Saccharomyces cerevisiae S288C: one gene and its partners. Changing the gene in region 1 together with any one later gene gives a genetic interaction. Each region holds a gene or a part of one and is shown on either strand. Other genes may lie near its edges. The genes, in order: PHO12, ABZ2 and GPI12.

Evidence for each region.
Region 2: mutations in PHO12 (region 1) and ABZ2 together harm fitness more than expected from each alone (negative genetic interaction), as found in Saccharomyces cerevisiae (one large-scale study listed by BioGRID).
Region 3: mutations in PHO12 (region 1) and GPI12 together harm fitness more than expected from each alone (negative genetic interaction), as found in Saccharomyces cerevisiae (one large-scale study listed by BioGRID).

The regions. Positions count from the first base shown.
Region 1 is NC_001140.6:549,700-554,192, forward strand, and holds PHO12 (acid phosphatase PHO12), read left to right. Parts: upstream 1-2,399; coding exon 2,400-3,803; downstream 3,804-4,493. Other genes in the region: YHR214C-D (uncharacterized protein), read right to left, coding at 949-1,242; YHR214C-E (uncharacterized protein), read right to left, coding at 1,501-1,800.
Region 2 is NC_001145.3:846,646-850,836, reverse strand, and holds ABZ2 (aminodeoxychorismate lyase ABZ2), read right to left. Parts: upstream 2,153-4,191; coding exon 1,028-2,152; downstream 1-1,027. Other genes in the region: ATP-dependent RNA helicase HAS1, read left to right, coding at 1-763; U2 snRNP complex subunit HSH155, read right to left, coding at 2,351-4,191. UniProt on the Saccharomyces cerevisiae protein: Converts 4-amino-4-deoxychorismate into 4-aminobenzoate (PABA) and pyruvate.
Region 3 is NC_001145.3:829,903-834,014, reverse strand, and holds GPI12 (N-acetylglucosaminylphosphatidylinositol deacetylase), read right to left. Parts: upstream 1,677-4,112; coding exon 762-1,676; downstream 1-761. Other genes in the region: AEP2 (Aep2p), read left to right, coding at 1-659; DNA-binding transcription factor CAT8, read left to right, coding at 2,686-4,112. UniProt on the Saccharomyces cerevisiae protein: Involved in the second step of GPI biosynthesis. De-N-acetylation of N-acetylglucosaminyl-phosphatidylinositol.

The DNA of each region.
Region 1 (4,493 bases):
ACTATAAAGCGTCAGAAAAGATGGTTTAGCGAAGGCACCATTATGAAGATAGACACATTCTTCTTTTTTTTTTTTTTTTTTTTTTTTTTTTTTTTTTTTTCATTTACTTTTATTTCTCGCGGTCGGTAAATTTTTCGTGGGTTTCTTTGAATCTATTAGCCGACATAAGAATAATGCATAAATAATATTTTTAATGTCTTCCTATGCCCAAAAGAAGAAGTCTTGAAGTTGCCGCACATGGAAATCACATGACCATGGCTTGGCCCTTCGTTTTAAATGCAACATGCAATATGGAATGTGTCATGAATACTATCAGCAGGAACAGAAAGCGTCGTTTTGTTTCTGCAAATGCTGTAGTTTTGGGCCGAAAATAGATGTAGTAGAATATATAGTGAAACGTGATGTACAAAAGAAAAAGGTAGTTTAAAAAAAATTAGATAACTTGGATTTTTACCCTGAATATTGCATGTGATTCGTAAAGAACTGAGTTACCTCAAACGGACCTCCCTTTTCATTTCGTATTCCGCGAATCATGAAGTCATGCAATTACCTCTGAAGAGCTGACTGTCCCAAAAGAAGCTATCGAATCTGTCCTTGATTTATTTAAGCCTTGCGTTTCGAGAAAGTGAAAACCAATTGAATACAAAATAAAAAAAAAAGAAGAAAGAAATAGCAGGTCTAAGATATATAAGAAAGTTAATATCATTTTTGAACATTTTATTTTAGACGCCTTCAGCCGCGCGACGCCCGGAGTAATCATATGCCCATGACTTTACCAAAAGGCAACAGGGAGGAACATGCATTAATGTGAAGCATCACTGCTGCAATTCTCGGTGTTGCTAATAATTCATGGATCGAGAAAGAGACATAACATTTAGGCCAATTTTTTGAATAAATATGAACTCAGCTAAGACTCGACAATACAATTTTCTTATACTAAACGTAGATTTATAAAATAAACACAACTGTAAGGGCAATGCAACCGTAGATGCATATATCATTTATAGAAATTATATCCAACAGAAAGCTCAGACTTATATCCGGTTTAAGAGAGAAATTCTTGCTCATATTACCCCAAGACCAGGTGGCGTGTTGAAGTTTATAACATATAAGAACTACTACCTCATGAATTCTAGTGGATGAAAGAAGCAGCACGAACACCATTTCTACAGACAACGACACATGGAAAGGTTCACCATTCCCAAAGAAAACAACGATGGCCACAAGGGTGTGGTCCTCCATTCTCCTACTGTTGGAAGGAGATATTATCCGACCGACTGTTTTGTGATATGGCAAACTATTTTTTTAAATGAGCAAAATTACTTCTTTTGGCTGGAAATGTCATTAGAAAGTGCCCAAGTGACATTTAGCTAAACTCGGGTATTGTCTACAAGACCGGTGCTGTGACCGTTTCCAATACGGAAAGAAACGGTACTGGGAGCAGGAGTTGCTTTTACAGATATGAACAATGCCAATAGAGCCGCACATGTAATTACTGGTTCACACTCGTGGGGCCCACACGATTCCTGTGCAAAGTTTGACAAGAGGATGGAGTTTCACGTAAATGCTGCCAAAGGTGATGCGGTTTTGTTTTTGGGCAGCCTCTACCATGTTGCAAGTGCGAACCATACTGTGGCCACATAGATTACAAAAAAAGTCCAGGATATCTTGCAAACCTAGCTTGTTTTGTAAACGACATTGAAAAAAGCGTATTAAGGTGAGAAAATCAAGATTATCTAAGCCGATGAAAAATGAAAGGTATGATTTCAGCCACAAATATATAGTAGTTATTTTATACATCAAGATGAGAAAATAAAGGGATTTTTTCGTTCTTTTATCATTTTCTCTTTCTCACTTCCGACTACTTCTTATATCTACTTTCATCGTTTCATTCATCGTGGGTGTCTAATAAAGTTTTAATGACAGAGATAACCTTGATAAGCTTTTTCTTATACGCTGTGTCACGTATTTATTAAATTACCACGTTTTCGCATAACATTCTGTAGTTCATGTGTACTAAAAAAAAAAAAAAAAAAAGGAAATAGGAAGGAAAGAGTAAAAAGTTAATAGAAAACAGAACACATCCCTAAACGAAGCCGCACAATCTTGGCGTTCACACGTGGGTTTAAAAAGGCAAATTACACAGAATTTCAGACCCTGTTTACCGGAGAGATTCCATATTCCGCACGTCACATTGCCAAATTGGTCATCTCACCAGATATGTTATACCCGTTTTGGAATGAGCATAAACAGCGTCGAATTGCCAAGTAAAACGTATATAAGCTCTTACATTTCGATAGATTCAAGCTCAGTTTCGCCTTGGTTGTAAAGTAGGAAGAAGAAGAAGAAGAAGAGGAACAACAACAGCAAAGAGAGCAAGAACATCATCAGAAATACCAATGTTGAAGTCAGCCGTTTATTCAATTTTAGCCGCTTCTTTGGTTAATGCAGGTACCATACCCCTCGGAAAGTTATCTGACATTGACAAAATCGGAACTCAAACGGAAATTTTCCCATTTTTGGGTGGTTCTGGGCCATACTACTCTTTCCCTGGTGATTATGGTATTTCTCGTGATTTGCCGGAAAGTTGTGAAATGAAGCAAGTGCAAATGGTTGGTAGACACGGTGAAAGATACCCCACTGTCAGCAAAGCCAAAAGTATCATGACAACGTGGTACAAATTGAGTAACTATACCGGTCAATTCAGCGGAGCATTGTCTTTCTTGAACGATGACTACGAATTTTTCATTCGTGACACCAAAAACCTAGAAATGGAAACCACACTTGCCAATTCGGTCAATGTTTTGAACCCATATACCGGTGAGATGAATGCTAAGAGACACGCTCGTGATTTCTTGGCGCAATATGGCTACATGGTCGAAAACCAAACCAGTTTTGCCGTTTTTACGTCTAACTCGAACAGATGTCATGATACTGCCCAGTATTTCATTGACGGTTTGGGTGATAAATTCAACATATCCTTGCAAACCATCAGTGAAGCCGAGTCTGCTGGTGCCAATACTCTGAGTGCCCACCATTCGTGTCCTGCTTGGGACGATGATGTCAACGATGACATTTTGAAAAAATATGATACCAAATATTTGAGTGGTATTGCCAAGAGATTAAACAAGGAAAACAAGGGTTTGAATCTGACTTCAAGTGATGCAAACACTTTTTTTGCATGGTGTGCATATGAAATAAACGCTAGAGGTTACAGTGACATCTGTAACATCTTCACCAAAGATGAATTGGTCCGTTTCTCCTACGGCCAAGACTTGGAAACTTATTATCAAACGGGACCAGGCTATGACGTCGTCAGATCCGTCGGTGCCAACTTGTTCAACGCTTCAGTGAAACTACTAAAGGAAAGTGAGGTCCAGGACCAAAAGGTTTGGTTGAGTTTCACCCACGATACCGATATTCTGAACTATTTGACCACTATCGGCATAATCGATGACCAAAATAACTTGACCGCCGAACATGTTCCATTCATGGAAAACACTTTCCACAGATCCTGGTACGTTCCACAAGGTGCTCGTGTTTACACTGAAAAGTTCCAGTGTTCCAATGACACCTATGTTAGATACGTCATCAACGATGCTGTCGTTCCAATTGAAACCTGTTCTACTGGTCCAGGGTTCTCTTGTGAAATAAATGACTTCTACGGCTATGCTGAAAAGAGAGTAGCCGGTACTGACTTCCTAAAGGTCTGTAACGTCAGCAGCGTCAGTAACTCTACTGAATTGACCTTTTTCTGGGACTGGAATACCAAGCACTACAACGACACTTTATTAAAACAGTAAATAGACCTAATATGATTTATGTAATTTTAGAAACTAAATATGAATGCTAATTTTTTTCTTATTTTGACTTTTGCTTGCGAGAAGTACCAAGTTGGAACAACAAACACAGTCCAAAGAGGGAAATACAAAGGCACAGTACGCAATTACTTTATTATTCTTTAGCAAGACGAAGATAGTATGAATATACGTGTAAGGCATATGCAAAGCCATGATTTTATACCATAGACATGACATGCGGGTTACATGAGGTGGTAAAATGTTTTAAGATAGCGTCCAGGGCAAGTACATGAAATGTCGTTTAGAGATGATGCAAGAGTAGGGTTATGATGTGAAAGAATAGGGCAATTAATTAACAGAGCGGATGTTGTAGGATGATATAGTGACACATAATATATAAATGATCGGTTGAGCGCGATATTATATAAGAACATCCATATGAGTATATATCCTACCGTGTCTGTTCTCTACAGTGCTTCTTTTATTCAAAATTATTGGTTTTCGTAACCGCCGCGCAGGCACGCCGCGCATCTCTTTTTCTCGAAGAAAGCGGAAAAATAAAAACGAAAAAATAAAAAAAAAAAAAAGTATAAATAGTGAAGACTTTTTCCATTTGATATTTGGTAAAAATTTCGGCTGGAAGTTTTTTGCTGAACATTTAACCGGAGAATCTTGGTGGCTTTTTCTCAGTTT
Region 2 (4,191 bases), on another chromosome or scaffold:
CGTTCCTGAAACCGACAACTCCACCGCAGATGGATTAGAACAAGGCTATGTGGTATGTGACAGTGATAAGAGATTTTTGTTGTTATTTTCTTTCTTGAAAAGAAATCAAAAAAAGAAAATTATTGTATTTTTATCATCTTGTAACTCTGTGAAATATTACGCTGAATTATTGAACTATATTGATTTGCCAGTCCTCGAATTACACGGTAAGCAAAAACAACAAAAGAGAACAAATACATTTTTCGAATTCTGTAATGCGGAAAGAGGTATCTTGATTTGTACAGATGTCGCAGCTAGAGGGCTAGATATCCCTGCTGTGGACTGGATCATTCAATTCGACCCTCCTGATGATCCAAGAGATTATATTCATAGAGTCGGAAGAACCGCAAGAGGCACTAAAGGTAAGGGTAAATCTTTAATGTTTTTAACACCTAATGAATTAGGGTTTTTAAGATATCTAAAGGCTTCCAAGGTCCCATTAAATGAGTACGAATTCCCGGAAAACAAAATTGCAAACGTTCAATCACAATTAGAAAAATTAATTAAATCCAACTATTATCTACATCAAACAGCCAAGGATGGTTATAGATCTTATTTACAAGCGTACGCTTCCCACTCTTTGAAAACTGTCTATCAAATCGATAAGCTGGATTTAGCCAAAGTAGCAAAGTCTTACGGTTTTCCAGTCCCTCCAAAGGTTAACATTACAATTGGTGCCAGTGGAAAAACGCCAAATACCAAAAGACGTAAAACTCATAAGTAATTTCAGAGGATCAATTTTTAATGCTATTAATGTGTACGTGGAACCAACACAACCGAAGTATTCATCTTCTGTTCTCATCGCACTCCTTTTCCTTTCTCTGCTTCTCCACTGTATGTCATTTAAATAAATGTATAAACCGCTGTTTTCTGTTTGTTGTCTTCTACGTACGTTGTCTGTATCAACCTGCACATATTTGAGTATGTAAAATCATGATTTGTAAACTATTGTAAAAAAACTTCATTGATATGAAAATCTGTCGTCTGCTCAATATTTTGTCTTCACTGTTCCCTTTATGCATCCCATGACGCCATTGAAAAGCAAAACTTCGTTGCCAACGGTAAGGCTTCCTATATCTATATCTCCCTCTTCAATAAGGCCGAGCCGCAATAAATAATGACGCATTGTTCCGCACAAACATCCAGTTGCTAATCTTGGTGTCACATACTTTTTAGAACCGTTAGGATCTTTTTGAATTACAGCCACGTTTGTTATTGAACCTTCCATCAGCAGGCCAGATTTGTTGGAAAATAAAATTTCGCATTGCGAGACAGAAGAAGTAGGTTCTGAACCTCTTAAGTTATTTATAGCAGTTTGCATGCGAACTCTCGCCCTAGCGTAATGATCTCTTGAAGTGGTTTTAAAACTGGTGAAAGCTGATGCGTTCAATGGTTCAGATGAAACAACAACATCCCAATTTATTGTGCTATCAATTAAAAATCCATTGAGCATCGTTTTGATGAAGTATGTGGAAACACTGTCATAATCGGTTGTTAATTTTAGGATAGGCTCCATAGGCATTGGAATTGCCTCAATTCGTATATCTCCTGTCTTAGAGACAAGTACCCGCATTTTATAGCATTGCCTTTCGTTGATCATTTTTTGAATTTTTTCGTGATACTCTGAATTTCCTTCTTTACAATTAATCAAGTTTTCAACCAATAACTTCAATAAATCATTCAGAGACGTGCTGAAGTCAATTTTAAAGTATGATAATGCTATTCTTATTCTTTGGTATTGTTCATCTAATAAAAAAAATCGTTCATAAATGACTTGTAGCATATCTTCTACACGCTGGCACACAATGGTCTTGCAATCATGCTTCCAAGCATCAGGATGCTGAATATTTTCGAGAAGGTCACCGCCGGAATTAACCTCCCTTACTCGTAAATAACTTGAGTAATCCTCATTAATTATCTGCTGCCTAATATCTTCGTCTCTCAAACCTAATCGAGGGTCTGGAGTTTCAAAGATCTCTTTCTTTGACGCTGACTGGCGTGCAAAACCAGGGTCGTACCTGAAAGTGGCCAGAACCTCGAAGTTCGGATTAGCAACTAGGCCTCCTTCATCGTAACTTTCCATATCAGTCTTCCAATTGTCCATTAGTGACATCTATTTCTTATTATCCATGTCTCGCTCTTCATCTTTCTTTTACTCACTTTCACAAAATTTTTTCCTGCCCTTTTTTTTCCAATAGCAGGTTCTGTTTATATTTCATCATAATCTATGAAGGCATCGTGACGTGATGATATAGGTGTGTCAAGTAAAATATTCTTACAAGTTGTGGTTATTTATATGCTCTATATATATTCACAGAACTAAATCCAGTTCTTCTATATATTCTTCATTGTTGTCTGGTGTAACGGGGTAAAAAGGTACCATGGCGTCCTGGTACATTACGTACATGTTATTATACACCCTCCAAAATGCTTTCCTTACATTCTTCGCTGGATGGAACAATCCTGCCCATATGTAGTTCATGAATAGTCCAGGGCCAAGAGCTTGACTCAGTGCCTCCAAACCTTCTAAAATACGCATAATAGCATGTGGTGAAGTTTCAAAAATATTGGGTATTAGAAGATTCATTAAATGAATGAAGGCATCTTCGTGACCTGTACCTGAACAGTTTAAAGCTAAGTGGGTTATTACGTTCGACGCTGTCTGACGATGAACTAAATCCCTATCGGTGAGTGCATCTTCTAATAATGGTGTTATGAAGTATATGTAATCCTTAGACATGTTACCAATGTACTCAAACATGAATGACATGGCCTTGAGAACACCGTTTTGAACATTAGTCTCTGGTGTTGTGTATTCATTCATGATTACTGGCAGCACGTTGTAAGGACCACACACTTTAGCAACGATACCGATAGCAACAGCCGTGCATACACGTAACTGACGTTCTTGAACCTTTAAATTGTTCAATAACGCAACAAGAACATCGTGAGGTCCAATTGCTTCAGCAATGAATCCAAACGTGGCATTTGCTGATCTTCTTATTTCTTTATTTGTACTTTTCAAAAGTTCTAATAGTTCAAAACATATTCTCATCCATTCTTTAGGAGGTGCATAGGTAGGTGCTAATTTACCAATAAGTCCAACAAATTTGATAGTGTTTACTTCGACTTTTCTATGCTTGTTTCTTAAAATTGGAGTTAAGGTTGGTAAAATTTGATTAATAGGAGGTTGTAGTTTATCCAAATCCATTACGCTAGTAATACAGTACATAGCGTTGATTATAGAACCTAATACCTCTGGATATACTTCGCCTAAGGATTCATACAATATAATGTTCAATTTATTCAACATTTCGAATTCGTGACAGTTCTTGATGACTGGTATTAGTATGGCACATAGATCTGCTGCATGTTGACGAACCAAGGGAGTTTTATGCTTTAAATGATTTAAAATCGTACTCACAATGGGTGCTAAAAACGGTTTCATACGGATGTCAAGTGACACCGTCACTGCCCCAAACCCTTTAAAGATTATAGAATCACTATTTGTTTGTTCTTGAAATGCTATCAAGAGCGCATCAATAAGCCTCGTTTCTAATCTCTCATCTAAATCTGCTGTCCCTAATAAGTTTACTGTTCTAGTAACAGCATGGACAGCCATTGTTCTGAACGGCTCAGCTTCATCTCTCAATGGTGTTAATAATTTATCAATGGTATAAGAACAACCTAATTTCTTTGCTAATGTAACAGTAGTATATGTAACAACTTTGTTTAATGGTCTATCCAATGCCACTCGTCTGACCCAAAATTTTTGAAAGAATTCTGGCGCGATTTCTTCTCTCAGAAATTTTGGCGTTATGGATTCTACAGCGCTACATTTTTGTAATACTAAAAGAATGGTCTTTTTCATTTCATCATCGGGAGAGTCGAATTCACGTCTAATTATTCTCATTGCTTCTGTGGTATAATAACCGGCATACTCTGGGTCCATCAATGGGATCATAGATCCAACAGCTTTTAAAAAAGAAGATAGCACTTTACCACGATGACTTCTTATACCCTTCCATAATGGCTCCAGTACAACGTTGAAAACTTCGATACCATATGGATAAGAATTTTCTGCTAGTGTTGATAAAGTATGTGCTGTAACAATTCGCACCGGAACGTGATCATCCATTAGGCAGTCTTTGA
Region 3 (4,112 bases), on another chromosome or scaffold:
GCTATCCTAGTTCCAAAATACTCGTTTCAATCTTAGTGTCATTCTACTTTAATGACCACGATCTTCACAGAGGCCTAAGTATTTTGGATTCATTCATAAAGCACTATCCGGACGTGAAATTGGATGCGCTATTTTGGAGAAGGCTGTTTCAGCTAAGTCATTTTGCTTGGACACCAGCAAACGACAAGAAAGCCACTTCTGTTGTTAGATGTTGGCATTTAATGAAGCAGTGGTATGCATCTAAGCGGCTAAGGCCTTCAGTTGATTATGAGACGTTGAGACAACTGTACGATATCATGAAGAAAACAGGCAATTTCCCGCTTGGAATTGATGTTTTAAGGAGTTTCAAACCGGGGATCGAAAGAACGAGAGCAGAAAATGCTGGAAAAGTTAACAATATCATTATCAAATACCAAAAATGTATTATTAAGGAGCTTGTAAATAGAGGTAGATTTTCAGCGGTAAGGGAATTCATTGATAGTTATGGTTTTGATAGAAAAATGACCAAAGATTTGAATATTTTTTGTGCGAATCGTATGTTTCTAAGAAGTAAGAAAATGAAAAACAAGATTGAGAACAAAAAGGAAAGGGAGAAAGTGCGGCTAGATAGTTTCGATGACGATGAAGATGATGGTATGATTATAGGTAGCCTTTGGTAAGAAAAGTGTAAGTAGAATTAGCATTTATTTTTCTCCATATTCTTATTCTATAGGATGTAAATAATATGGGACTTTTTTATATATATATCTACAGTGTAGAGTCTAATATGTATAAACATCAAATTCATTAACGAAGACAAATCTGGAAAATATCCACCATCCGTATCTAAACCACACAACTTGGGATTCGTGAGCATTTAGCATAGTGGCAAACGCTAGTACGTATTGTGCATGTGTATTCATAAGTGAAAGCTTGTCTTTTTCGGCGGCTGTGTTAGGCGGAAGCGCCTGAATTATTCTACGGAATGGAGAAATCAGGTCGTAAAGTATTTTTAGGATTTCCCAAATAAAGGAGTTGTACTTTAAAACGATGTTGTTCTTGTAGCTTCTCAAATAAAGCGCAGTGACATGAGGTGGTTGTTCATTTCTTTTGGTCTTAGGTTGAGCATAATCATCCACCAACTTTTTAACGGCAGCATAACAGCTTTTGTGGTTGATATGATTTGATACACCATATGAATCAAAGGTAACGATAATCTGGTTCAAGTTATGATTCTTTATATCTATCTTTTGTGAAAGAGAAGAAGTTATAGAATCAATATCCCATATTTCGTCCATACCATCCTGGAAATCCATCACCTGTACGGAGACTGCTCTTTCATTGTGTAGCAATAAAGCGGCCGACTCATTTAATTCTCTTACCCTGGTTTCGCCAAGACCTTCGGCGTTGCCCTTTGATAAGCAGATTATGTTAAATGGGACGGTTCTCGGAAAGTACGAATTCAGTTGAGAAATTATGGGGGAAAAAAACATAACTTCGTCGTCAGGGTGCGCTATGACCAAATTGATTTCATAATCGCCATATTTATGAGGAAAAATATGCTGCAATGATGCATTGTTTCGGGAGACGATTTTGGGCGTAAAATAAATATATAGGATCGTCAGTACTATTGCTAGTTTAGTAATCTTGTAAAGCAATTTTGAAAAATTTACCTTTGTACGCCTCAACATCTTCATTTAACTTTTCTTCAGGGTTTGAAAGAATCTAATATACGGCTCTAGCGTCACCTATCTACACTTAACAATTCGATAAATAAGGAGGGCAATGCAAGATTATAAATAAAAGCGCAGCGTCGATTTTCCTTTTTCTATGACGTTAACGTAACTAGTAAACCTTCTAGAAGGGACGACTCCAATGAGATAGAAACGGCGAAGCGGGAATTTAGGAGTACTTGTTACCCGGCTACTAGTTTATTTCATACAAACACATTGACACATTCGCACATATACATCTACGAGAAATTACTGAATGTGAAAAGGATCAGAGGCAGTTAAAAGAGGTAACAACTTTTATCATCAGATTGTGATACGACTTATACTATTGAATGTGTATGATTACACAACTTTCCTTCTGCAGAACATTTTTACATCTGTTAAGATGGTGCAACATTTCTTTTTATTAGCACATTACTTTTGATGAAAGAGTATATTCAGTTATCGTAGCTCCTCTCACTTCTTTCTATCCGGTGTTTATTCGCGATATGAGTTGTGATATCAGAGACAGAGAGAGTTTATGTGCGTAACAGGAACGGAGAAAACCAGAGTAATTGAGTATTATAAGCAATAAATCATAAAAAGACATTCTTTCTCGTGCAATTTTTTGGTATTCGGGATAATCTTCTACTTGAAACTTCTTTTTTTCGGTGTTTAATTTGCCTATTGGTAAATATTTTTGCCGCCGAGGTTCTCAGTGATTATATTCGTATTAAGCGATAACCGAGACATGCATGGAGCGGCGGGGCTGATATTTTGTGGGGTACGAAAGCATGATTGGTCAGTGACACTCAAAAAAAGAAAACAGCCGTAAAATAGTAGATTTTGTTAAACTCCCCTTTAAACCTGTGATATTGTAAAAAGACGAAGAATTTAATAATTTAATAATTCATTACGGTATTTATTTCTTCATAAACAGTTACAACACCCTAAAGAGAATTTACAAGTTGAGTAAAAGACAAGACACAAAATTATGGCAAATAATAATTCTGATCGACAAGGTTTGGAACCCAGAGTCATTAGAACTCTGGGTTCACAAGCGCTTAGCGGTCCTAGCATATCTAATAGAACTTCAAGTTCGGAGGCAAACCCTCATTTTTCCAAGAACGTGAAGGAAGCAATGATCAAGACAGCTTCTCCGACTCCTTTATCTACACCTATTTACAGGATAGCTCAAGCTTGTGACAGGTGTCGATCTAAGAAAACAAGGTGCGATGGAAAAAGACCACAGTGTTCGCAGTGTGCTGCTGTCGGATTTGAATGCAGAATAAGCGATAAATTACTGAGGAAAGCGTATCCAAAAGGGTACACAGAAAGCCTGGAAGAAAGAGTACGCGAACTGGAGGCAGAGAATAAGCGTTTGCTAGCTTTGTGTGATATCAAAGAACAGCAAATAAGCCTTGTTTCACAGTCGCGACCACAGACATCAACGGATAATACCATAAATGGCAATTTCAAACATGATTTGAAAGATGCTCCATTGAATCTGTCTTCTACAAATATCTATTTATTAAATCAAACGGTTAATAAGCAGCTACAAAATGGCAAAATGGATGGTGATAATAGCGGTTCTGCAATGAGTCCATTGGGGGCACCACCTCCACCGCCACACAAAGACCATCTTTGTGACGGCGTTTCCTGTACAAATCATTTACACGTCAAGCCTACTTCTACGAGTTTAAACGATCCAACCGCTATATCTTTTGAACAGGACGAGGCACCTGGTCTTCCTGCGGTAAAGGCATTAAAATCAATGACGACTCATCAACGTAGCACTCAATTGGCAACTTTAGTTTCTTTATCCATCCCAAGATCTACTGAAGAAATTCTGTTTATTCCTCAGCTTTTAACTAGGATAAGACAAATATTTGGTTTCAACTCAAAGCAATGTTTGTATACGGTTTCATTATTATCTTCATTGAAAAATAGATTGCCAGCACCACGGCTTCTAGCACCTTCAACATCAACCAAGTTAAAGGAGAAAGATGAAGATAAAAAACTTGATGATGATTCGGCTTTTGTGAAAAGGTTTCAAAGCACAAACCTCTCCGAGTTTGTCGATTTGAAAAAGTTTTTAATTTCTTTGAAATTTAACATTAACTCGTTTTCAAAGCAATCAGAAAAGCCGGCTAATGATCAGGATGATGAACTACTTTCCCTCACTGAAATTAAAGAGCTTTTACACCTTTTTTTCAAATTTTGGTCTAATCAGGTACCAATTCTAAACAATGACCACTTCTTAATATATTTCAACAATTTTGTTGAAGTCGTGAAGCATTTATCTACAGAAAATTTGGAGACGAATAACACTACTAAAAGTACAGTCACCACTAATCATGAAATATTTGCCCTAAAGCTTCTGATGATGTTACAAATGGGGTTACTCGTTAAGATTAAAAT